Lepisosteus oculatus: one gene and its partners. The protein of the gene in region 3 binds, or shares a complex with, the protein of the main gene of each other region. Links are inferred from orthologs where the notes say so. Each region holds a gene or a part of one and is shown on either strand. Other genes may lie near its edges.

Region 1 (7,497 bases), on a different chromosome or scaffold from region 3:
ATAATTTCTTACGCTCATTTCCCTGTCCTAAAGATGCACAGACAAAAATGGTACATAACTGGTTCTAGAATCACGATACTGTAATAATCTAGCATATCTTAATAAAATAATTACAATTTATTGTATTTATGAAATACTTTCCAAGATCCGTATCTTCTAAATTTTAAAGGATCCAGAAGCATTTCACACATAGGAAAGTATCCCACTTCATCAAAAATGAAGGCCAATACTTTAATTACCAAATAGGCAGGTTCAGGATGCGAAGAGTACCAACTACTGGTGACCAAAATGTTCTCCCTGACCAGTCCTAGCCTTGCTTAACTTCTGAGATCTGACAACAGCAAAAACTCTGAAATTCCTGCTTGTCCTTAGCATGCTTATACAGTAATTGCTCATTACCTCAACAATGAAAGAACAGCAAATGTTATAAATGTTCTTCACTGTGATAAGGTTCTGTTTTATTATTTACACTCAGGACATACCATCTTTTTAAAGTACTGCCTTGCATAGCTCTTCACCTGCAAAACACTGCGACTGCCAATCATTTTTGCTATCTTGGTCCATCTTCGACCAAACTGTGTCTGAAACATCAAAAAGACAGGAGGGAAATATCTTTAATGCTGTTCAACATCTATTACACTTATAGTTCAAATTACAGACTATTAGGATTTGTTTCCACACTTTAAGCTGTACTAGCTACAAAACTATCTTTGGTGATAATGTTATAAAAACATAAACATAAATCTTTATAGAAACAGAAACAAATAAAAAAAATGCTAAATGATAAAAAATCCAGATGTTATACACAGTGCAATAGCCAGTATAATTTGTCAAAGTAAATTTATTACCAGTCCTTTTTCAAAAAGATCCTTTTCCTGCTGTGCCCAGCGAACAGTTTGAGTACCCGATTTAATTGGAGACCTATAAGGATTTTTTCAAAAGAATTTAAAAAAAAGAAAACCAAAAATAATTAAAACAAACTCTATTGACTCTATCTATAGCCAACAGTATAGATCCATTCAAAACAAAAAAGAAGCATCTTTCAGAACAAACATTTATTTATAAGAAATGTTTTTACAGAAAAAATAGGTATTAAGAAAATAGGTATTGTGTTTATATATAAAACTTGTATTTATGTAAATATATGTACAAATATTAAACATAGCCAAAATCATAAGACAGGATTACCGCAAATGTATATTAGGGACTGCAAAAGAATGTGTATTTATAAAGATACATACGTTTAGAATTTATCATATTTAGTGTCATAAATGACGTAAATGAAAGGAAATGTCAGTCCTGTACACCTAGAGAACTGCAAAATTCAAGGGTAGTCTTAATTTACCAAATAATTCAGCATTAAAACAGCTGATCTGACTTAATATCTAAATAATAACATTAAGAAATTATTATCGGAGTTATAAAATCAAGTTGATAAACTCACTTCTTTACTTTTTCGGTCATTTGCTTGTCACCAGTCCAGGTGTTCTTGGGAAGCTCCTTACCTGTTAGATAATATCTTAAACCTTTTTAAGAAAAACTGTCAGATCACTGCATTGGAGATGACTGCCTTTGATTAATAGCATTTCTCAACTGTGTTAACTTATATAATGAAATAATAAAATCAAGAAGAGGTGAAAACAAATATATATATATACACTTCTCAACTATGTCTATGCTGCACTGATTCTTCCTGCTAGAAGAGTTCACATTTTAAGTCAGTCCAGAAACAAAAAAAGGATACTCCTCTTCAAGCAGCATGTTCTCAATAGCTGCTCTATTCTCAGCACTGATGGAGCTGTCCAAGGCCCAGGGCTAAGGGAGTTAGGAGCAGAACCTAATGTTAAATGTGAAACCTAATGTGTAAAGACTTCTACTCACATAACACCAAGCAGGCAAAAGCTTTGAGCTTCCTCAAAGCTGCAGACCAAGAGCTGAGTATGAATGCTGTTATATCAATCTCTTCCACCTTGCTTATCCACCTGTTACAACCTAAGTGAAGATTTTGTTTCCAGAAACTTTAAACCAAAATGAAAGCAAATTGAACTGAAAGTTATTGAGCAAGAGACATCATTTGGTTGTAACTGCCTCTTGTGGAGAGATTGAAAGAAGGAGCTTTTACTCCATGATGTATTCTGTTTTCCTGCTGTAAAGTGTGGACAAAATAAAATGTCACCAGACATGTCACATAAGCATGACAATAGAAACAATGTTAGCAATGCAGTCATGTAGGAAGGTTTGAATTGCAAATGCAAATTACTACATTGTAAATGCATCCACTTACTATCAACCCACTGTCTGTCCTCCATGATGACTGTAAATACTGGTCTTGCAAGAATCTAGCAGATCCAGCATCAGGGTCTCTGAAATACATTTCAGGCTATCACAGAAAGATTTCAAATAGTATCCATGTCAAAACATGGCTGTTAAACACAGCCATGTTTAGTGCGTACTTAATCCACACTGCACTAAGTACGGTATTATAATATTAAAGTTTATGTCGAAGACAACAGGTCAGATCTCTGAGACTACTCATGGGAATAGGCTTAAAGTGGCATCAAAAATATTTTTGGAAAAGGTCTTCATGTTCTTCAAATTTTAGATAACTTGAGTTAGTTCTAGATGGTCTCCTCTCGTTTGTAACTTTTCGTTCATTAGATGCTAAGCGTTTACTGAGAAGACGAAGCCTCCTGACAAAGGTGGCAGGATAGCACGATTAGCTCTCCAACACAACTTGCTCGTACATTTGAAACGGTCTGTTATACCCGAGGTCTTCTTGTTTATACTTTTACATCGGTATTACTAAAACAGATGTAGCAATATCTTTAGGAGAAACATTCTGACACTCTAAAGGTTCTATTTCTATATAGCTGAAGATCTGAAAGGAAAAAGCGAGTCCACAAGGTATGTGAAAAAAATATATAGAAAACAACATAAATGTTTATTCAAATTAACATAAATCTATAATATCTGACTTATCTAACACTCACATTACGGATTTTACTCTCGACATTTCGCCATTCATTTCAATATGTTAAGTACTGAGACCTTTAAAAAAAACAGAAATTTCGTAAAAGTACTCCTGTCAAACTCTGAATCAACTGACACTGTGTAAGACATTACAGACACACTGTTCCATCACATTACCTCAAATTCAACTCAGATTCATCACCCTCAATATCAACAACATCCAGCTCCTCCGCCATGTTCTCTAAAACTCAGCACTAGCAACAAAGAGAAGTGACAGGTCGCTCAAAGGACGAAGTTTTTCTCTGTAGCGACATCTGCTGAGTGGAAGACCTCCAGTTAATGTCGTTATTTATATTTGATATATTTCATTTTTAAAACATTTATCTAAATAATGTTATGAAAGTATAAAAATATATTTTTTGATCGAGCTTATACTGAATATTAAAGTTCCCGATTTGTGTGATTCTATAACCCCATTCTTTTCACAAAACTGTTGACAACTGTCTAAAAGTCTAAAAGGATGCCCTTTTGAATGTGACAAGTTTTATGCACAATTGTTTGACAACTTGTAAGAGAAACATGATTACATTTTGTGTAGTCAAATTCAGTTTTTTATCAAACTTAATTTAAACCACTGAATTTTTTGGGTCCAAAAATAATAATTACATTGCTACTCTTAGTTTTATAACAAAATTACAATTGGAGAACACATATAAATTTAGTGGTTACTGGTGCTATAGTAGATACCTGTTATTAATACCCATCACCAGGTGTTTCCATATTTAGTGTAGCAAAAGCGAAATTAAGGAACTGGAGTTTTGCTTTTCATTTTCAATAATCAGCTAATTTTTGTATGCTATTTCAATTTTGCTTTGCAACTCCCTAATCAATTTCTGAAGTATGAAGTCATTTTAAAAGAAAATAATCACTCTGATCCCATTACAACATCTAGGGTGATGTATTTATAAAAAAGGTATATTTTGAAGCATAATACCCTGGCTTCTATTAAAAAATGTGTGGATGAGACCTTTGGGATAATAAGCTTAATGTAATGTAATGTAATGTGTAATGTAATTACTACTAGCAATCAAACATGTTAGAAGTGTATAATGGCTTCCTCTGGATTGTAACTATTCCTATGTTGTTATATGGCCAGCAGCCATATCACCCTGCAACTCACAACTGGCAACCCACTGAAGCTCAGCAGGTTTGAGCCTGGTCAGTACCTGGATGGGAGGCCTCCTGGGAAAAACTAAGGTTGCTGCTGGAAGAGGTGTTAGCGGGGCCAGCGGGGCCAGCGGGGCCGCTCACCCATGTGGGTCCTAATGCCCCAATGTAGTGACAGGGACACTATACTGTAAACAGTGAGATGTAAAACCGAGGTCCTGACTCTCTGTGGCCATTAAAAATCCCAGGGTGTTTCTCGAAAAGAGTAGGAGTGTAAGCCCGACGTCCTGGCCAAATTTCCCATTGGCCCTTATCAATCATAGCCTCCTTATAATCCCCCTCTATGAATTGGCTTCATTACTTTACTCTCCTCCACACTGATAGCTGATGTGTGGTGAGTGTTCTGGTGCACTATGGCTGCTGACGCATCATCCAGGTGGATGTTGCACATTGGTGGTGATAGAGGAGAGTCCCCATTACCTGTAAAACACTTTGAGTGGAGTGTCCAGAAAAGCCCTATATAAGTGTAAGCCATTATTATTATTATTGATAATACAAAGTAATTAAGACATTTTTAGTGTTGGTAAACAATTACAGGTACCTTTGTGTTAAAAGGGAAAAGGGTATTATATAAGTCAGTCTCTCAATTTAATTTCTTCCAAAAATAAAGTTTTTATTAAAGTTACTAACAATAACTGACATAAACAACTCATAAACACTTGAATGAGATAAGAGTATGAAACATAATACACGTTATTATTTACAAAATGTTTTTATATTCAGTTTTAAACAATTCAATGAAAATTCTCATAGTACAAATATTCCAAAATTATCTATTTTAAATCCTGCCTTAATTTTACATTTCCTAATCCATTACAGAAACTTTGAAGTCTGGAAGAAGTCTAAAAGTAACTTTCTTAAGTCTATAATTTGCCAGTTAAATTTACACCAGCTAATTTTCAGTGAAGCCTTAAAGAAGTCCTGATGGGTAATTTTAAACTCCTTAAATTACCTGCTTTTCTGTATAGCTGGATCACATTTTTAGTTTAAAAGCCAAAAGAGAAACAGTTTACTCTATGAAGGCAGAAATACAGAGCTTGTGAATAACTCCTTATGGAGAAATACTCCCCTACCAGTGTCACATGAGACAAATATGAACAGATTTCTCTGCTACTTCCCCAACCTGTCGGATATTTCCAACAACGAGGTCACTTTTGTGTGGTGCCATCAGCTGAACTCCCTTCTGTGTTCCAGTAATACCCTATGTGTCCTCTTCTGAGGAGGAGTAGCAGTCAAGACCCAGAACATGTGGCTTGTGTTCGGCAGGCAGGTGGGACGTACTGAGCTCCAATGCCTCTGAATTTTTGGGAAGACAGTTCTGGGCTGCAGAATTCTGGGCCATGGAGCAGCTTTGAAGGTTCGGAAGCCCTGTAAACAGAACCCTTGCCAGACTGTCTAAGTTCTGATCATCTAGTGTGGCACGTTGCCCAGAAACCTTCACAGCCATCTTGCTGTGGTTGAAGCAGAGAGGCTGGTCTTGGCTGGGTAGGTCTGCCACAGGGGAAGTGAGTACAAGAGTACAACTCTTCTCTTTCTCTGGAGCTTGTGTCACCTTGCTCTCCTCTTCATCATCACTGTCTGACTCATCACTCTGGGATCCTGGTTCTGACAGCACAGGAGTACATAACCTTTTAAAGCCCCCAGACTCTGAGAAAAAATAATTCTTTTTAATTTTAATTTAATGTATACACACTACTTAGTAAAAGGTAATAGCTTCCTAAAGTAACTGTGGATTAAAATGTAACAGTTTTCAGTGCTACATGTTAGAGCTGATACTTCAAAATAACCCCATGTTTGAAAGAAATGTGCTGGTACTTCATGTTTGAAATAAATATATTAATAAAATACTACATGATTTCTGATGGTGAGCTTATAGTAATCACAAAACACTTTTGTTCTTCGTACAAAACAAGTAATTTTGTCAACAAAAATGACATCTCAGAGCCATCAATCTCAGACGTATCACCTCCAAACGTTATGAAGTTTAATAAATATTGATGGTAAAACTAGAAGTCCAAAGTAGTCCAAAGTGATACCTCTTCTAAATTTATGAAAAGTTGAAATTTATAATAAATTAACATAATACAAAGGGAGGTAGTACTTCTTTTTGCAACTCTTTGCAAGTCAAGACCCACTGTCTTTTTTTAATTCACTAGAGGCTTTAATTACCACTTACGAAGATGACTGTTCATAAAACATGGGTTGATACAGTCAAATAAGTCATCTTTATGAATTATGTATTTATTTATAAATATGTTATTCTTTATTAAAATAATTATTACATTATTTATAAATCAGTAAAAGGGATTACTGGAGATGGGGGATGTCAAAACTTACAGCAGTGATAGTTTATCCATCACAAAAACAGACATGATTTTGAAATAACTTCAGAAATCATTAAGGATACATATCTGCTGGAGACTTTAAAAATGTGAAATGCAAGCAAATGTACTTCAATGCATCACACAGGAGGACAGACAGATCTACCTGCTTGGCTAGGACATGGTACCCCATCCTGTGGCCGTTTCCTTTTAGTGTAGCCTCGGGGATTCCAGGGCTGGTGTTTGCAGGACGGATCTAGGACCCGGAGCTTGTGGAGGTAACTCTTATATTCCTTCCGCAGCCCCTCTATCTGCTGCTGAAACTCTGCAATCTTCCTCTCAGGGTAGTGAGAGAGCTGGGACTGCTGCAAGACAAAGAACAGTTCTATTATAAAAGAACACATGAAATGTTACAAAGAAATTAAGGCCATTTCCCCCATCATGCCTGTTTGGCTTCTAGTACATTCCCAATCTCCCTGCTTCAACAGCACTGCAGTGCAGTTTGTTCCAAAGAATTGCCATTCTTTGTGTAAAGAGCACCTCCTGTTTCCAACTCAATTCATTTTTCTATAGCCTCCACTTGTGCCCTCAAGCCTTTGTGTCTTCTCTGTTCAAGACTTAAATCATTGTCATAACAAGACCTCACTGTATTAGTCATCTCAAATATTCAACACTGAAGTGTATCAGTAATCTGCATAACACATGGAAACCATAGGACCAAATACATAGCAAGTCAGGAAAAGAAGTAAGTTCAACAGCTGAGTCTATTATGCAATGAAAGAGTGAAATTTATCAGGACACTAGGATTAGTACCTTTTAAAAAATGCTAGTGGCTTGTGGAAGAACGAAACAGGATCTTAAAAGACCAGGTATTGGATTATTTTGAACTGCATTTCCACTTTTAGAAAAAAACAGTCTCAACAGCAGGGGGCATTGTCATAATTGCAAAGAGGGAATTGTTAATGAACACAATGATTTC
Region 2 (8,237 bases), on a different chromosome or scaffold from region 3:
ATCTCAGGGAGTATTTTCTTACTGGCTCTGTATAGTGGAAATATTCATACTGTGTTAGGACCTCTTTCAATATTTTTCTCTTAATCTACCCCCTTTCAAAACAGGACATAATAAAACAGAGGTTGAAAAGCTTCTCAGCAGAGTCCACTGAAGTTCTATTTTATACCTCTGGCAAATCCTATTTTTTTATACTATGACATGTTAACACAACAAAACAGTATGAATGCTACTCCTACAAAAAAGAAAAGGATATAGAAAAAAGACACAGGAAGTGAAAGAGGTACTACATTAAACTTCATGTCCAACTATAGAACACCTAAAGCATTCTACACCTGTGTCTTTAAAAAAATTCAAACTATCCAACACTCCCTTGGGTAATTCTTTACAAGTCCTACAATTGCTTACCCAGTAAGTGACCGCAACTGCGGCAGGGCTCAGTGAGGCTGACAGTTATCTGCTGCAAATCCACCCGGGGAGGAGTTGGGGGTGGATTTTGGCTCTTCCATCCATTACATTTACAGGACTCTTCAGCCTGCAATATACAGGAATGGGCACTTCATGAATAGCTGGACTAGAAAATACAAATGGATGACTTTGTTCTTAAATGCCATGTATTTCTCCCGAGCTATTGATCTGAATCTTTTTTTTTCCCCATTTGTAGTTGCATACAAATAAAACGTTTGTGTTATTTTAAACCATTGTGGCAAATGAAAGCTATAATACACACAGATCTCAGCTTGGCTCCAGATAAATCAATATTTTGAATATAAAGGAATCTAAGGGGTGCTGGGAAATGAAATTAATTATTTAAGTACTCTTCCCCGGAGGGCCATTTTGTCTTCTGGTCTGTGCTTCAGGCAAGTTCTTAGGCAAATTGATTTTAATTTCAGGCGTACTTTTCAATTTTCTCTCAGCTCTTAAAAAAGATTTTTAATGTTCGTAATATCAAACCTGCACCAATACCTACATCTCAGAACTCATTCATTATGTTAGCTGATATGTAACTTAAGTAGAAGGCAAAAACAGTCATTGTGAAAATGTTTAATTCAATGTGATGGCCACCTGTGTCTGTTTCTCATGAATTGACCATGTTTATTAGTTGAAAGAAAGAAAATCATAATGAGAGAGCGGAAAAGAGACTACTCTAATAACCTTTAATGTATTCATACAGTTTAACTAGGGCTTTGACACACCTGGGTCGAAAATGTCTAAAGATGCCAGGAGCTCAGGTACAGGCACCAGTTAGCACTGGTGATTACATTGAGGGCCAGCTGAAATGAAAACCAGCAGATGTTATTGTCCCCTCAGAACAGCACCGGGAACAACTGATCTAAAAGACAAGGATTGCCTATGGTGGTCTTGAAAGACCACATACCTGTACGTGTTGGTTTTTGTTGTTGCCAAGCTCTCAGTTACAAGATTAAACCCTTAATTTACTTAATAATTAGAATAATTTGAAGTGTTTGACTGTTTTCAGCTCTTAAACATGTTAAAGGATGCCTTTTAACTACTGCATTTTGTAAGCAAATAAAGATTTTAGTTTAGGTAACTAAGCTTGACTGGAATGAAAACCGGTAGGTGTGTGGTCGGGGTCCTGCAAACCCACGATCTGAAGCAGGAGTACTCGACATTGGCATTTCCATCCAATTCCTTTTCTCCAGCGAATTCTGATTTATCAAGATACTCTTCAGAACCTGGACTAGAAAATCAAATAGCAACTCAGGAATTAATTTATTGAAAGGTTTAAAGTCTCACAATAGCATGGAATTGAAGTGACAGAGTTAATTATCCCCGGCCTAAGAGCTAAACTTGTTTTTGTTCTGTGTCAATCGGCTTAATTTCAGTTTTTAAACACTTGCAAACTGACACAACGAAGGAGTCTACTTGTCAGAAGAGAATAAAATTTAAGCAAGAGGAACTTTTATAATGGCAAGGTTTCTTCTTGTTTAGCACTGAATTTGTGTAATGTTACAGAAATATAATAAAATGGTTCAGTGTTATACTAATACTATGCTAGTCTATGCAGTACAAAACGGACTAACAGCCTTAGCTTACATCTAAAAAAAAATAATAATACATGAATCACAGCTAAGAGCAGAAAATAACAGAGAAGAAAAAAAAGGAAATTGTTCTGAAAGAAAAGTTAAGTTTTGGTGTCATCGGTGCAGCAGAAAGTTATTGCAATGCTGCATGTGACCACTAGTGATATCAAAACAAGCTCTTCTGCAAGCCCGAGCTCTGTGTGTAGTACAACTCAAGACGTTTTTTGCTGCCACAGCTATTCGCAGCAAACGTGCACTGAGGAACAAAACCAAACTCCGCCTACCAGCAGCTGTCATACTGTCAAAACAAAGAGGCTGGTTCTGAGCAAAGACGACGATTATCAAAAAATAAGTTACACGTTTCACAACAAGCAACAATTCCATTAACGTATATAGACAACTGATTCCATATTATCCGAGAAAACATTGCAACATTTACTGCCCATTACTCGAAATACGGAATATTTGACACCGAGCCAAGTGTGTTTACGTCCACTTTTTCCCCTCCAAACAATGAGTGCAGACCATTATTTAGTGATTTTACGATGTACAGTACACCCATACTGTACTTTTTCATTACCTGCAGGTACAATTTCTAACAGAAACGAGTCACATTTCCTCATTGTTTAAATATGCAACTTTCTTGAGGAAAATCCCTACGCTGTGGTTGCACTCTACAGAAGCGCATCAGATTGGAACTGTTAGATCTGACCTATGTACCTTGCAAGAGGAATAGACTCCGAGTTTCTCCAGCTTCTTCGGCCGCGGAGCGGAGCGAAGCTGCGCCTTCTTCACGGCGATACCAGCAGATCCCGCAGCAGCGCCCGAACACTCCGTCCCTCCTCCCCCGGGAGCAGCAGGGGCCAAGCCCGCCGCCCCCACAGCTGGGGAGCCCTGCTGCAGCCCGCTGCTCTCCGACATCCTAAATAGCGAGCCCGAAACGGACTCCCCAAGCCGCTGGATGTGTATCTCTCTATTCCACAACTGTAGGATCAGACATGGCGCTCATCCCTATTTTTTGTCATTGTAATCTCCGCATGCCCTCACTAGGGGGAGACAAAATTGGCATCCTGCAAATATTTAAAGAGGTCACAGACATGCAGCCTGTTGTGGCAATAATTTCAAGGTCAAATGGATTACGTCAAGCAGAGTAATGGAGATCAGTTACCTAATTTGAAACTCTCTAACCACTACAGAAAGTGAGCATAGTATTTCTGAGAATGCTCACTGGGTATTTAATATATGTATACAAATCATACCACTGAAACTGTCAGCACTAATGATATTCATGCCTGTCAGCATTGGCATTGCTCCTGGGTGTTTAATCAGTCATATGAGATCCTTCATCTCTTAAAGGTCAAAGTAAAGGGATTCACAAATTATTTTATTTTGGTAACTTACATTATAAATTGCAGGTCTAAAGGACAATTTAATTTAATTATTTAACCAGCTAAGTCACTTCAAAACTTTTTTATTTCCTATTGATCCAATTCATTTCCACTGAGCTGTAGAGGATCCATTTATACATCAGGGCATCTACAGGAACAATTTAAGTACCTTGCTCAAGATTACAACAGCAGCTTCCCACCAAAGATTTAAACCTACAACCTCTCCATCTGGAGTTTGAGACCCTAAGCACTATTACACACTTGTGCCCAATAAGGTGGAAGTGCATTCAAATATTTCAAAGCAATTACATTTTGTTGAGTAACCGGCTTGCTTTGTTTTCAATGAGATGAAAGAATAATAGTTGACTCATTACTATTTAAAGAAGCCATACAGTTTATGTAAAAGGCCACACAATTTGTTTTTTGTCCATGACAAATGACTTGCTATTTGAGATTTATTTGACACATGTTCAGGCTGCATTTCATGTTTCACATTTGTAATGTAATTTGGTTCTCTGCAGAACACAGTGATGAAGGATGTTTTGTGGATACCAAAACAGCAAAATTATTTGGACAAACCCAGTACTTTTGAAGCTTTGAATAAATAAACCATCCTACAAACTTTTTTAAAAGAAAATAATTGCATTAAAACTTATTTGCTTTAAGTATGCAAAGAAAATTACCAAGCCCTGTGAATTGAAGTACATTTAAATACATTCTTTAGCACATAAACTATGAAAGTGAAAATCAAACTACTAAATTATTGAAAAAGAACACTGAAGCTTAACATGGAAAAGGGATTTACCTACTGTAATTGCATATTCATGATTCAAGCTGGGGCCTACCCTTAATTTTCTGGTCACAGTAACTTTAGTTTCCAAGGTCACAGTTTCCATGGTACAACTTGTAAACAGCTTATGTTGCCTCAACTTTAAGGTAAAGCCTGGCTGAAATATTTCACAGCTCTCTTCATGGAAACCGATTTAAAGCTAAGGTATGTCATTTCTTGATTTTATTTAGTTGGAGATTGTTGGTGGAGGGCTTAATGTTCACTGCTAAGAGTGTAAGCCACCTAGAGAGATAATGTATAAAAACACTGTTCGACAAAATACAACTTCTATAGTGATCTGAAAAAGTAAAAAGCTGTCAATAATGTACCATTTTGTACCAATCCCTAGCATACATCACTCGCAGGACCAGAGCAGATCATTTGATGAAGATAAACACATTCTAAAAGAAGGTACTTCTAATAAGACAAAAGAAGGTATACCTGTAGCTGTGGAAAAAAATCACGAGTTAACTTTTAAAGCTCATGTCACTTCTTCAAATAAAAATGTAAAGCAAGCCTGTACGACAGAAGATTCCACTGACGCAATTAACTACAAACACAAAACGGGATGTTGTGTGACTACATTCAAAGTAAATCATCCTGTAATTAAAGCTGTAGCATCATGTGAAGATAAAAACGCTGTATGGAAACAAGAAATGGAAGACATGTCTATATTCATTGAGCGCTATGGAAGTGATAAAGGTGCATACTTCATAATAGGCCTTTGTGACGGGTTTCATGGTAGATATGCAGCTGATATAACTTCTAAAGAACTCCCAGTCATTGTTCTTGAACAACTTTCAAAATGTTTATCAACATATTCCTTAACTGGAGAGGATATTAACTTATTGGAAAGCTTTGAAACAATATTTCAAGAAGACTGCAAAAGCAATGCAGATCAAATACCACCTTTTTCATATTTGCAAGTGGAAGACTTGAGTCATGACGAAAGAGTGCATATGGCCTTTGCCAAGGCTTTTCGCAAAATGGACCGGATTCTAGGCTTGGGTCGAAATGAAACTTCTAAGATTCGGTGGAGTGGATGTACAGCCTTAATTTGCTTAATTGAAGGCCCAATGCAAGACAGAAAAAATGCAGAACTGCACCAAGCAGGAGGCTGCAAAAACAGAAATCATTTTACATCACAAGATCAAAAAAATACTATGGGAAAAATACACATTGCCAATTGTGGTAAGTATGTTTTTCATGTTATGCAATTGATAGACTTTTAATGAGCATTAACCTGGCCTCTGACATACTATGCCAATATTAAGTACAGCAATTAACACAACATCAAGTAATTTGCTATGGCAAAAAGCAAATGTTTTAGCTTAAAACATGGGCAGTGTGGCTAATTCAAACAATTGTAGAGAATTCCATTCTCTTACCTATAGTAACACTAATTGCTTACACTTAAATAGCGCTTTTCTGGACACTCCACTCAAAGCACTTTACACGTAATGGGGACTCTCCTCCTCCACCGCCAATGTGCAGCATCCACCTGGATGATGATAGTGTTGATATCACGCCGGTACGCTCACCATACATCAGCTCTCAGTGGGGAGTTGAAAAGAGCGATGAAGCCAATTCATAGATGGGGATTATTAGGAAGCCATACTTGGTAAAGGCCGATGGGAAATTTGGCCAGGACAACAGGGTTACACCCCTGCTCTTTTCAAGAGAGGGATTTTTAATGACCAGAAAGAGTCAGGACCTCAGTTTTACGTCTCATCTGAAGGAGGGCACCTTTTTACAGTTTAGTGTCCCCATCACTATACTGGGGCACTAGGGCCCACACAGGCTACAGGCTGAGCGCCCTACTGACCCCAGTAACACCACTTCCAGCAACAATCTTTTAGTTTTTCCCAGGGGGTCTCTCATCCAGGTACTGACCAGGCTCTCACCTGCTTACCTTCAGTGGGTTGCCAGTTGTAAGCTGTAGGGCGATATGGCCTTACTTCTTACAGGATCATAGGGCAAGAGGTCAAGCTAGGGTTTCAACTGCGTGCATAAAGCCCTTTAAATTGTAGTGAGTAGTACAATAAACCTTCAGACTTTAGAGTCTGTAAATAGAACACCAAAGGAATTCATAATGCACCCATAGTGCCTGATTAAAATTAACATGGCGTGTACAAGTTTGAATAGCTTTTATGAAAAATTTAATGAAGTTTGTGATGTTAGGCAACACACATGCAGTTTTGTGCAAGAATGGGAAAGGACATCGGCTGACAAAAGACCACAGTACTTCCAACCCAAAGGAAAGAAGACGTGTTCTGAAAGCTGGCGGGAAAATAAGTGTAAACAAGCAGCACGGACTTGTAGAAGGTCTGATGAGTGCAACCCGTGGGCTTGGTCATCACGGGGACCTGCAACTGAAGAAGTCAGTCATTCCTGTGCCATATTCTGTATCTTTACCAATAGATGACACTTTTCAGGCAATGATTTTAGCTACAAGTGGGATTTGGGATGTCTTGGATGAAGATGATGTTGCAGCAATTGCCATGGATTTTTCTTCTCTAGCGGAAACACCTTGCAACCCAAACCAAGACAGAGAAAGGACACCAAATCAGGCACAACTCGAGAACAAAACAGATGAAAGTGGGACTTTGGGCAAAGAAACACAAGACTGCTTCCAAACAGAAAAACCCTCAAATTGTGTAAGGACTAAAACTGAAAAGCATTTCAAAACCAAGACAGACTATGAAAACTTGGCAGTTTCCATTAGTAAAAAAATTGTTGAAACAGCAGTAAATTCAGGGGCAAAGGAAAACTTATCAGTGATAACAGTACTTCTGCCTGGATTAGATGTATAAAAAATGTATAAAAAGGCTTATAATATTCAACACCACTGCAATAAAATGATGTATGGCACAAACACTTTCTTCAGTGAATAAACTGTCTGGGACAGATTTGAGACCATTTGAGAACTGTCACTGTTCCATTATTCAATCAGTATAGCATGACCAAATTAATTTTTATTTAGGAATTAAACAATATGGTAAATTGCTTGCATTTAGATGTGAGCTGCATTTAATATTCACAGCAATAAGTATACAATATATCCCTGTTTATTAACTTATTTATTCATAATCTAGTACCTGAACATTAGAACTGATCAGTCCTTAACCATTATTGAGTTACATTATTACATTTCTGTTGTTAAAAATGACTGCCAGCTACTTATCAGTTCAGTTACCCGTCTTGCTTAAGCAGAATTATGATTCCAACATAGCTGATTTCAGTTTCTACTAGGTATAATATCGTATGGGGCATCATTGTCTTACCACTAAAATATTTAGTGCAATGCGAAAGAAATGTTAAAAATATAAACAGAGAAATGAGAAAGTACAAGACAAACCACTAAGGAAATGCAAGTTCATTTTGTTAATAACACTACATACATTTATAAAGATCACCACTGATTATAATTTAACCATTTGTGGAAAAACTCCGAACCCTTAATAGAACCATTTCAGTTACTGTACAGTTTGTATGATTATCTAAACAACTCCCTAGCAAGCATTAGTCCAGTAAGTTGTATACTGAAAAGTAGACTACATTGCAACACCCTATTTACAGTATATTATTTATAACACACCAGCTGTAATAATGACAAGAAGTATCGATGAGCATTGTTAGTGCAAGGCATGACAAACGACTTCAAAAGACCTGCTGAAGTAATTGGTTCTCCTAATATCTTGAGGTGTGCTGAAAACAAATCAAGAATAGTTAGGAAAAATGACAATTTTTTGTTTTCCTTTCAAAGGATAAATCATGTAACCGAAACAAACAGAATTTACCAGACTGGTCAGGTTTGTGTTCACATACAAACTATTAAAACGAACGTAAGCAGACCTTCCTATTCTCTTTTCTCAAAAAGATACACTAGATTTTCATTTACTAAAAATCGACCCACTGGGCAGTTTAAGGGGCCATTGCAATAAAGACTTGCTGCCAGACTGTACTGCAAATTGGTTT
Region 3 (8,144 bases):
CTGTCAGTGTTCAGAATTCAGAATCACTAGTGTTTGTCTGAATGTCGGTTCTAAGAAAGGAAATGACTGGTGAAAACCGAACGTTGAACTTGACGGTGAGCGGGAGAGGTCGCTCAGACAGGGGTGCTGATCAGTCTCTTCCCTTTACCACCTCCAGGAGCCAGTGAAGCCAGAGGAGGGCAGAGACATGGCGAACCGCATCAACGCGTTCGGCTATCTGGAGTGCTCAGCCAAGACAAAGGACGGGGTGCGGGAGGTGTTCGAGATGGCCACCAGGGCGGCGCTGCAGGCCAAGAAGCGCGGGAAGAAGAACGCCTGCCTTTTATTATAGAGGAGAGGAAAAAGTGAAGAGGGAGAAAGAAAACCAGGCCAAGGAAAATGTACCAGCAAGAACCCCCTTCTGCCCCCCAGCTTCCTCCTCCATCGCTGTCCTGCCCCACTCCAGGTATGAGCTCATGCCTCCGCATCCGATCCTGCTCTAGCGCCAAACCAGAGGATCGTCTCTCCAGGAACAGCCTCCCTCTCCCAGATGGACAGTTGCCTTGGCTGATGAGAGGGGCTCCCTCACAGGCAGGCTGGACACAGAAGCAGTGACTTGGTTTTCTTCAAAGGCTCGCCCTTAGTTTTAAACACTTGGCTTCAAAACAATTACATCTGCAGTGTTGTGTCATCGACAGAGAAAAGGTCCCCTGGAAACAAATGTCTATATAATGTTTTAAGTTTTGTTCCTCATGTCATCGTTTGTAGCCAAAATATTTCTGTGGCACTCATGGAAGTTGCTTACTGGGCTTTTCCTCAAAGCTGACGACATGTCAGCTGCGCTCCAAGATACAGTGTTCCTGTTGCTAACGCAGCTGTTACTCTGGATAGGTATGGGGAAGAGGGCATTGTTTGAATGCTGTCTCTAGCGGCGGACTGGGTGACGAATGTTGTGCGAAACTGACAGGTGACGTCCCTTGGCAGTGTTAGTGGCAGAGGATGCTGTATCTTGAGTTGTGGATAAGTGTTTAAATTAACATTTCGCCATAAGTCCTCAGTCTTTTTTTCATCTGCAGTGTGGGACTAGTATTGTTTCGGTCATTACTGCCAGGGGCCCGCAGTGTAGACTGGTGGATCTGCATGTGCTCCTTGTTTCTGCCCCACTGTGTCTGTAGCACTGAAGCTCCTTCCTCATGGCATCTTCCTGCTCCTGTCTGGTTCAATTCCACAAATCTGTCTCATAGAAGCAGAGATACTGTTTTAAGAGCTTCAGCCACATGTAAAAATGACGACTATAAAGGATTTTGAACATTAACAGATGGGTTGTTAATAAGACTGAGTTTGTGTTGTTTAAAACTGGGGGTAACCCCCCTCTCCTCTTACCCACTGCTTCCCCTCCAAGCTGGGCAGGGCCTGCAACCAGTGCAACATCCTGGCATGAGGTGCCTGTCTGGCAGCCTGGTGTGAAGAAGCATAGCAGCGTATTTTAAAAGGACTCTTCGCAAACATTCCTGCCACCTCTGTCCTCCTTCACCACCTGTAGACCACTGCAGCAAGTTGTGACCTGCCACTCTGTCAGGCTCCCTGTAGTCTGTAGCTTGTGAGCAGGCCCCACCCCTGGGTCTCGCCATACACAGTGGCCCCTCGCTGGAGCGCGCCGAGCTGGTGTGTCAGCGGTGTCCGGAGGATCCTTCCTCACCATCTGTTCCATTGAATCGCCCCTCGGAGTCGTTCAAGTCAGTCTGAGCCACTGTCCCTGTAACCCCGGTGGGTTTGTGTTCTTGCTAATCCTTTGAAAGGGTCCCAGGATTGCATCTGGGATTTGAAAAGAGGGTTGAAAAAGGAAATAAGCTGGCGATTTTAATTCACGATTTAAACCCTGCCACAAAAAGATAAATGACACTGGACTCAGTCTGTAGCCCTGGGGTCACCCTCATTTCCTCCCAGAATATTGACAGTGATAGCTCTGTGTGAAAGGGCTGGGGGAGAGGGTTAATTGTTTGAGAATAGCAAATGATATGGGAATCTTGATAAAATCAGCCATGTGAACAGCGAAGGAAATAGGATCCCACTTGATAAACAGTAAAGGGGGCTGCATTGTCAGACTACAGAGGGTAATCCTGATGGAGATTCCAGTCTGGACAGTCTGGAGAGCTGGAAGACTGTGTCACACATTTGAGTTAAGTGTTGTGACTTGAATGACCTGTTTTACACATATTGTAAGACTTCTACCTAATGGGTGACTAGATATCCCTGCAGCAGTGGGTGAAAAACTGCGTACAGGTCCACAGTGCACAATGCATGAGCTTTTCAGCATGAAAGGAGGTGAGAGGGTTTTTCAACTGCCCATATCTATCTATATATATATATGCATACAATATTACATATATATGTAATATTCTAGATTTTGGCTTTTTCCTTTTGGGACTGGATAAGATGTATTCACACCTGGTTTTGTTTTGCTTAGCCTACTTTCCTTTAAGGCCTTTGTGCTGACTGATGACGAGTTTCTGAGTACTGGTGAAAGCCAACACAGAACTTGGCAAATGTGCAGTTCAAACCCATCAGGATTGCAGTCGGCCTTTGTTAAGGAGTCTTTAAGGATTTCCAAAGAGGGGGGTTGACCTGCACATTTGCTCAGCGTCCTCCATTCGAAAATAAATGTCCTGTGTCCAAGTGATGGAGTCCACAGGGATGGAAGGTTAACTGAAAAATGCGGTGCTGAAACTTCTCACTGCGTTTCTTTGGGAATATGAAAACCTACCTAATTTATAAAGTCTGAAGTAAGTCAAGGTTTTTTAAACCGGTCCTGGTCACATTTTCCTGTCTGTGCTGGCCCAGGGGACGTGAAGGGGGCAAGTGTTCAGCTTCCTCTAGCTCTCACACGTACAAACCCTGCGCCTCCTTCCTTTTTTTCTGCTCTTGTACTGTATATTTAACCCTGTGTGGAATTCTACTGGCTTGTACTGTATCAGTAATACCCTCTTGCAATTCTAGAATCTTACCTTAAAAATGTAAAAAAGGAAAAACTAAATATTATATTAAAAGTACTTCTTTTTAAAATAAAGTCACGAGAGAAAAAGAATCTGCCGCATATAACTTTACCTTTTGTACAAATGCATCTTGGAATTTCCTCAGTCTGCTTTTAAAACTACTTTAAATAAAAATTGTTTTTAGGGTACTGAGTTTGTGCAGTGTCCTCTTTGATGCGCACTTGGACAGGGGCAGAAGACTGATCACAGTTATGGTCATGTCCTCCAGCAGCTCAAACACAGTTGCTCATGCTTGCACACACAGAGCTGAGATACACACTTGTTCAGTGACGCACGCCACGTGCATAAAGCTCAGATACACGCTTGTTCAGGGATGCACACTGCGTGTACAGAGCCGAGATACACGCTTGTTCAGGGATGCACACTACGTATACAGAGCCGAGATACACGCTTGTTCAGGGATGCACATTGCGTGTACAGAGCTCAGATACACGCTTGTACAGGGCGGCTGTTCCTTCACAGGCAATCACGCATCTGCGCAAATCATCCAAAGGTGTTTTTGCTTTAAAAAAATTTAAGCAAACAGTATGTCCAATTAAAATCAAGAGAACTGTAATCATTGTTTTTTTTTCTAATTATCCAAAAGGTTTGCTTTATTAACAAATTTGTGTATTTTGTCTTTAATAGAAGGAAAACGTCAGCCAATGACTCTGCACAGAGAACAAAGTGTTGCAATTTGGCTCTAGAATGGTCAGACACGTTGCCAAACCAAACTGGTATAGAATTCCCTCAGTAATAACTCCATAACCCTGAATGAGAATGGCCCAGGAAACATTGAGACATTTTTCAGTTGACACAGGAAATACAATCTCTGGTGCACTTCCATTGTGATGCTCAAAACATATGTATCCCATTTGAGGATGTTAGCAATAGTACTGCTAGAATATTGAAAGACACCACATGTTGAAGACATTCAATCATTGCAGTGATTTCTAATTCCCTCACTGCTGGTGCAGAACAGCTGCTGGGTGTCGCCAAGGTGGGGATTCACTTGAGTGGCGAGTTAAGTGAGTCCACTAAATATGTGTAAAAATTAAATCTTCTGGGGGTTTGGGTTCCAGGAACAGGTTTTAGTTATTTTCAGTTTGGAAACCACATCAAACATAAAAACAACGAAGTGCCATTCGGGGATCTATAACAAAGTTCTCCTTTAATTCACAGTCTACTATTATCATTCTTACAAGATGTAATCCTGTAGAACTCCACTCTTCAAACAAAACAGCTCCCTACACACACCACGAACCTTTGTGCTTCGCATATCCCCCCTCTTAAGAACCGCCCCTGTTGCTGCATTAAATACCAAACCTTAATTAAATAACTTGCTTCTTAAATGAACACTACAAATCCCAGTCCTACACTTGTAAAGTGCTTTGAGACACTGTGGGATGAAAATGCATTACAGATTTACATTGAACATGAGATGAATAATGGTATTAAGATCCCAACTCTAAAAGGTCACATCCGTTCAGGAGCCTGAAATTTACAGGAAGGACCGTGAACAGTGCAGAATAGTGACTGCTGTCTTCGTCAACAGGTTTAACTAGCTCTACATTCTCTGCGTGCACTTTGTTCACTTCCAGGTTACTGCAGTACAAGCACTGGGTGCGCTTTATTTTTTTAGCCTGCCAGGCCAACTTTCCTCAGTCATACAGACCCGCATCAAGCCCTGCGCGCTGCGACATCGGCCTTCCTGTACAAGAAGACGGCTTCACCTCTAACCACTCAGAGGGCTCGAAAAAGCTGTCACGTAGAAGCAGAGCCAATCAATAACGAGAGGCGGACTTTCCTTTTCTTGGCCTATGGTGTCCGCGGAACTCTTAAAGGGAAATGTCAGATCCAATAGGAAAGCGGCGCTGTGGACGCCCCGCCTGAGAAAAATGTTGATTGATAAGGCTCTTACCCAATCATATGTTTTATAGGAATGGACCCAAAGTTTTTGGACCAATCAGCTGCAGCAGTCCGCCTACCAAGCTCCGCCCCGGTAGATGGCCATTTTGTTTTGGACGTAGAGCGAGACGGTTTTTCCAACATTTCTAAAAACATGTTTGTTTATTCATAACTTTAACCCTTGGCGTTTCGGAACAATCTTTCAGAAGGTATGATTTCTGTTCCTTTGACGAGATTTTTCATTCTAATCGGCTCTCCTTTTCGAGCAGCGAGTTAAAATAACGCTGTGTTTGGAGACCCCGGAGGTGCTGTTTACGCAGGTAGACGTTGGTCTCGTTTATAACTGACAAATCCCGTTAAAATGTTTTTTTTTAAACCGAAACCGCCGTTTTCCTCATGTCAACAAGCGCGACAGAATTGGTTAACGCTGTATTTCTGAATCGCAGCGAAAGAAATGATTCCGCTCTCTTCTAATGTCGGTAGTTCAGTGTTGTTCAGCGGTGTCAGTGTGTTGCAGCGCCATTGAAAGCGCCGATACTGTGGTCAGCACCTGTGTGCCGGGGCTCTGGACGCGTACACTTCACCTCCGGGGATCGATGGGATGTAGCTTCACCGACCGATTGACCGACTGTTTCTTCAGTAGCGTCTCTGCTTCTCATGGGCTGCCGGTTAGCTGCTGGGACCCAGGCGGCCCGGAGAGCTGCGCGGCCTCGGTTGTCCCCTCCTGTCGGTTACATGTCGTATAAACGAGCACGGCGTGGTCACGCCTCTTGAGCTCGGATCTGAAAGACTTGGCGACGGGGGTGAGCTGGGTTGATTAGCCTGCAGGAGACGCGTGTGACCCGAGCCTCTAGCTCCCGGTGACAGAGGCGGACTCGTGTGTCCGGGTCTTCTGCAGGGCGTGGTGCTGGTCCAAATGACTCCTCTCTCTCCCCCTCAGGCCAGCGAACCTGGTGCGGGGTGCCGAGCTGTCTGTGTGCCAGGTGGCCGGAGCGGGATGGACTACGAGAGGCGGTAAGATGATGAGGGTAACAGCTGCAAACACACCTGGAGGGACGCAGCGCAGGATTGGAAGGAAGTTCTGCCTGCACAGCCAGGGGCCCGGCTGTCTGCTCGTGTTATTAATGCCAGTGAGCAGTTAGAGAACTAACTGTGCTTCTTACTAGATTAGTCTTCGCCAAGGTCCTTAAGCAGAAGACTGATTGCATTATACAGCACATAGAAGCCTGGGCTGGTGGTTAAAATAAAGAGTTTGCTCTCGTTATCGTCACGTCTGTAGCCAGGTCACTGTGATATCGCGTGCTGAGCTGGTGTCTGTGCGAAGAAGTCTTCTCTTCTGACTTGGAGACCAGCTGAACTGAAACCCGCCGGAGCGGCTCCCGTGGGCTCGGACCGGTCTCCGCCGCGCGGCCGCGCTCTCACCTGCTGCCTCTCCTGTGCCCGCAGGGGCGGGCGGGGGGACCGCCTGGGCCGCTACGGCAGCGACCTCCAGGACCACGACTACCGGGACATGGACTACCGGGCCTACGGGCGGGACGAGCCCGCGGGCCTGGGCTTCGAGCCGCTGGAGCAGGAGGAGCCCCCCTTCCCCCGCGAGGACAGGGGGTTCCGCCGGGCCGAGGACTTCCAGCGCTTCCGCAGGGAGGAGCGCGCCCACGAGTGCGAGCTGCTCGGCAGCGAGTACGAGCCCTTCGAGCCCCAGGAGCGGCCCAGGGAGTACGAGCCTCGCAGGAGGGGCTTCCGGCCCTACGGCCGGCCGGGGGGCTCCGCAGCGGAGTACGGCACCTCGGAGCTGGAGGAGGAGAGCTACAGCGGACCCCCTGCGCAGGAGGAGTATGGCGATCTGCACCCCGAGGACCCCGAGTTTCAGGGCCCGGACGACCAGCAGGTGAGGTCTAGGTCCAGCGTTAACGCGGCACGGGCAGGTGACCAGGTCACCCTAGACGTTCAGCTCTTCCGCAGACTGCTGCAGCTGTTCTCGACGTGCGGCACGGGCTTCAAATGTAAGCTTAGCGACTGAAGTGCGAATGAATTCATTGTGAGCTTGTCGTGTGTAAATCTGTACCTGGCAGGAGTTCCCAGAGGCTGCCGTCTCCGGCCTGGCGGGGGGCCGGGGATCCGAGGGGTACCACGCCCGTGATGCTCTGGAGGAGTCGGCGGGCTTCCCTCCTGACCCGGACTTCCGGGACCAGGACTACCGCGCCGACTCGGGCGAGCAGAAAGCCAGCAACATCATCATGCTGAGGATGCTGCCTCCTGTCGCCACTGTCAACGAGGTAAGCAGCCCCGCGCTGTAGGACGTCTCTCCCCAGCAGCGCCGTCAGCAGGCAGTGTCTGGGGATGCAGATGTTGATTAAGTACCACAGAGGATCTGATTCTCCCTTTTTTCTTTTTCTTGTCTCTTGTTCTTTTCTCGTTCGTTTTTTAATTAGACACTGTAGTGTCCACCGCGAGGTGTATGTGATCTCTTTTTGGTCTCCGATTTGTTTCCATCTCCTCCCCTCTGGGGCTGGGATTTAAATACGAGGATTTAATTCTTTACAGTTTGATGTTAATAATGCTGTCCGTGTCTGGGGTCAGGATCTGCCTTCATCCCTCTGCCTCCCCTCTGTTGTTGCAGATCCGCTCCCACCTGCAGGAGCAGGGCATCCAGCCCAGGGAGGTCCGGCTCATGAGGAACAAGGCATCAGGTGAGCCTGCACTCCACAGGGTCTCCCCTCCTCCCCCCGCCCTCTGCTTCCCCTCCTCCATTCTTTGTGCTGCTTTCCCCGGGAGGCTGGGCTGCCTCTGTCTGTACACCAAGCCACACGGGATCCGTCCCCAAGACGGGCCTGGTTCACACCTCCCCACACACCCTCAGACAGCAGAGCACACAATCGCCCCCCAGCAAGGGCATAGGAGCTCTCCTCCCAGCAGGAGAGACCCCATCGTAAGTATGCCCGAGCACCTCGGTGTCTGTGTGGTCGCGGTGTTGCTGCAGTGTGTATCTCGCCCTGGTCTACAGAAGAAAGACCTTCCTCTCCACCGTCTCTGGGGGAGCCTGAGAAGTCAGTGATAGTTTCTATTGCATGTAGGTACAGAAGGCGGGGACTAAAAGAAGGACCAATTTCTTTAAACCATTCCATTGAGATGCTTTAGCATTAGGAAACTCATCAGAATCAGCATAGTTTCGAAGCCTGATCTGCTCGTATCTTAAGTGGCTTTGCACGACTGTGTCTGGTCTGT

What was found.
Region 1: rbm10 (region 3) and mysm1 share a complex: the UniProt entries of both Homo sapiens proteins name them as parts of the large chromatin remodeling complex. The link is inferred for Lepisosteus oculatus from reciprocal best matches to the Homo sapiens genes RBM10 and MYSM1.
Region 2: rbm10 (region 3) and kat2b share a complex: the UniProt entries of both Homo sapiens proteins name them as parts of the large chromatin remodeling complex. The link is inferred for Lepisosteus oculatus from reciprocal best matches to the Homo sapiens genes RBM10 and KAT2B.

The regions. Positions count from the first base shown.
Region 1 is NC_090704.1:17,917,481-17,924,977, forward strand, and holds the start of mysm1 (histone H2A deubiquitinase MYSM1), read right to left. Parts: upstream 3,213-7,497; 5' UTR 3,207-3,212; coding exon 3,148-3,206; intron 2,381-3,147; exon of another isoform or gene 2,375-2,380; coding exon of another isoform or gene 2,364-2,374; coding exon 2,285-2,363; intron 1,816-2,284; coding exon 1,745-1,815; intron 1,520-1,744; coding exon 1,445-1,519; intron 922-1,444; coding exon 849-921; intron 582-848; coding exon 483-581; intron 1-482. Other genes in the region: uncharacterized protein, read right to left, coding at 5,399-5,844, 6,685-6,883. UniProt on the Homo sapiens protein: Metalloprotease with deubiquitinase activity that plays important regulator roles in hematopoietic stem cell function, blood cell production and immune response.
Region 2 is NC_090705.1:30,066,542-30,074,778, reverse strand, and holds the start of kat2b (histone acetyltransferase KAT2B), read right to left. Parts: upstream 3,213-8,237; 5' UTR 2,964-3,212; coding exon 2,763-2,963; intron 533-2,762; coding exon 406-532; intron 1-405. Other genes in the region: protein phosphatase 2C-like domain-containing protein 1, read left to right, coding at 4,583-5,450, 6,441-7,072. UniProt on the Homo sapiens protein: Functions as a histone acetyltransferase (HAT) to promote transcriptional activation. Has significant histone acetyltransferase activity with core histones (H3 and H4), and also with nucleosome core particles.
Region 3 is NC_090697.1:77,941,439-77,949,582, reverse strand, and holds the start of rbm10 (RNA-binding protein 10), read left to right. Parts: upstream 1-5,005; 5' UTR 5,006-5,128; intron 5,129-5,859; 5' UTR 5,860-5,916; coding exon 5,917-5,933; intron 5,934-6,198; exon of another isoform or gene 6,199-6,365; coding exon 6,366-6,807; intron 6,808-6,991; coding exon 6,992-7,195; intron 7,196-7,539; coding exon 7,540-7,609; intron 7,610-8,144. Other genes in the region: rhoac (rho-related GTP-binding protein RhoA-C), read left to right, coding at 158-331. UniProt on the Homo sapiens protein: Binds to ssRNA containing the consensus sequence 5'-AGGUAA-3'. May be involved in post-transcriptional processing, most probably in mRNA splicing. Binds to RNA homopolymers, with a preference for poly(G) and poly(U) and little for poly(A).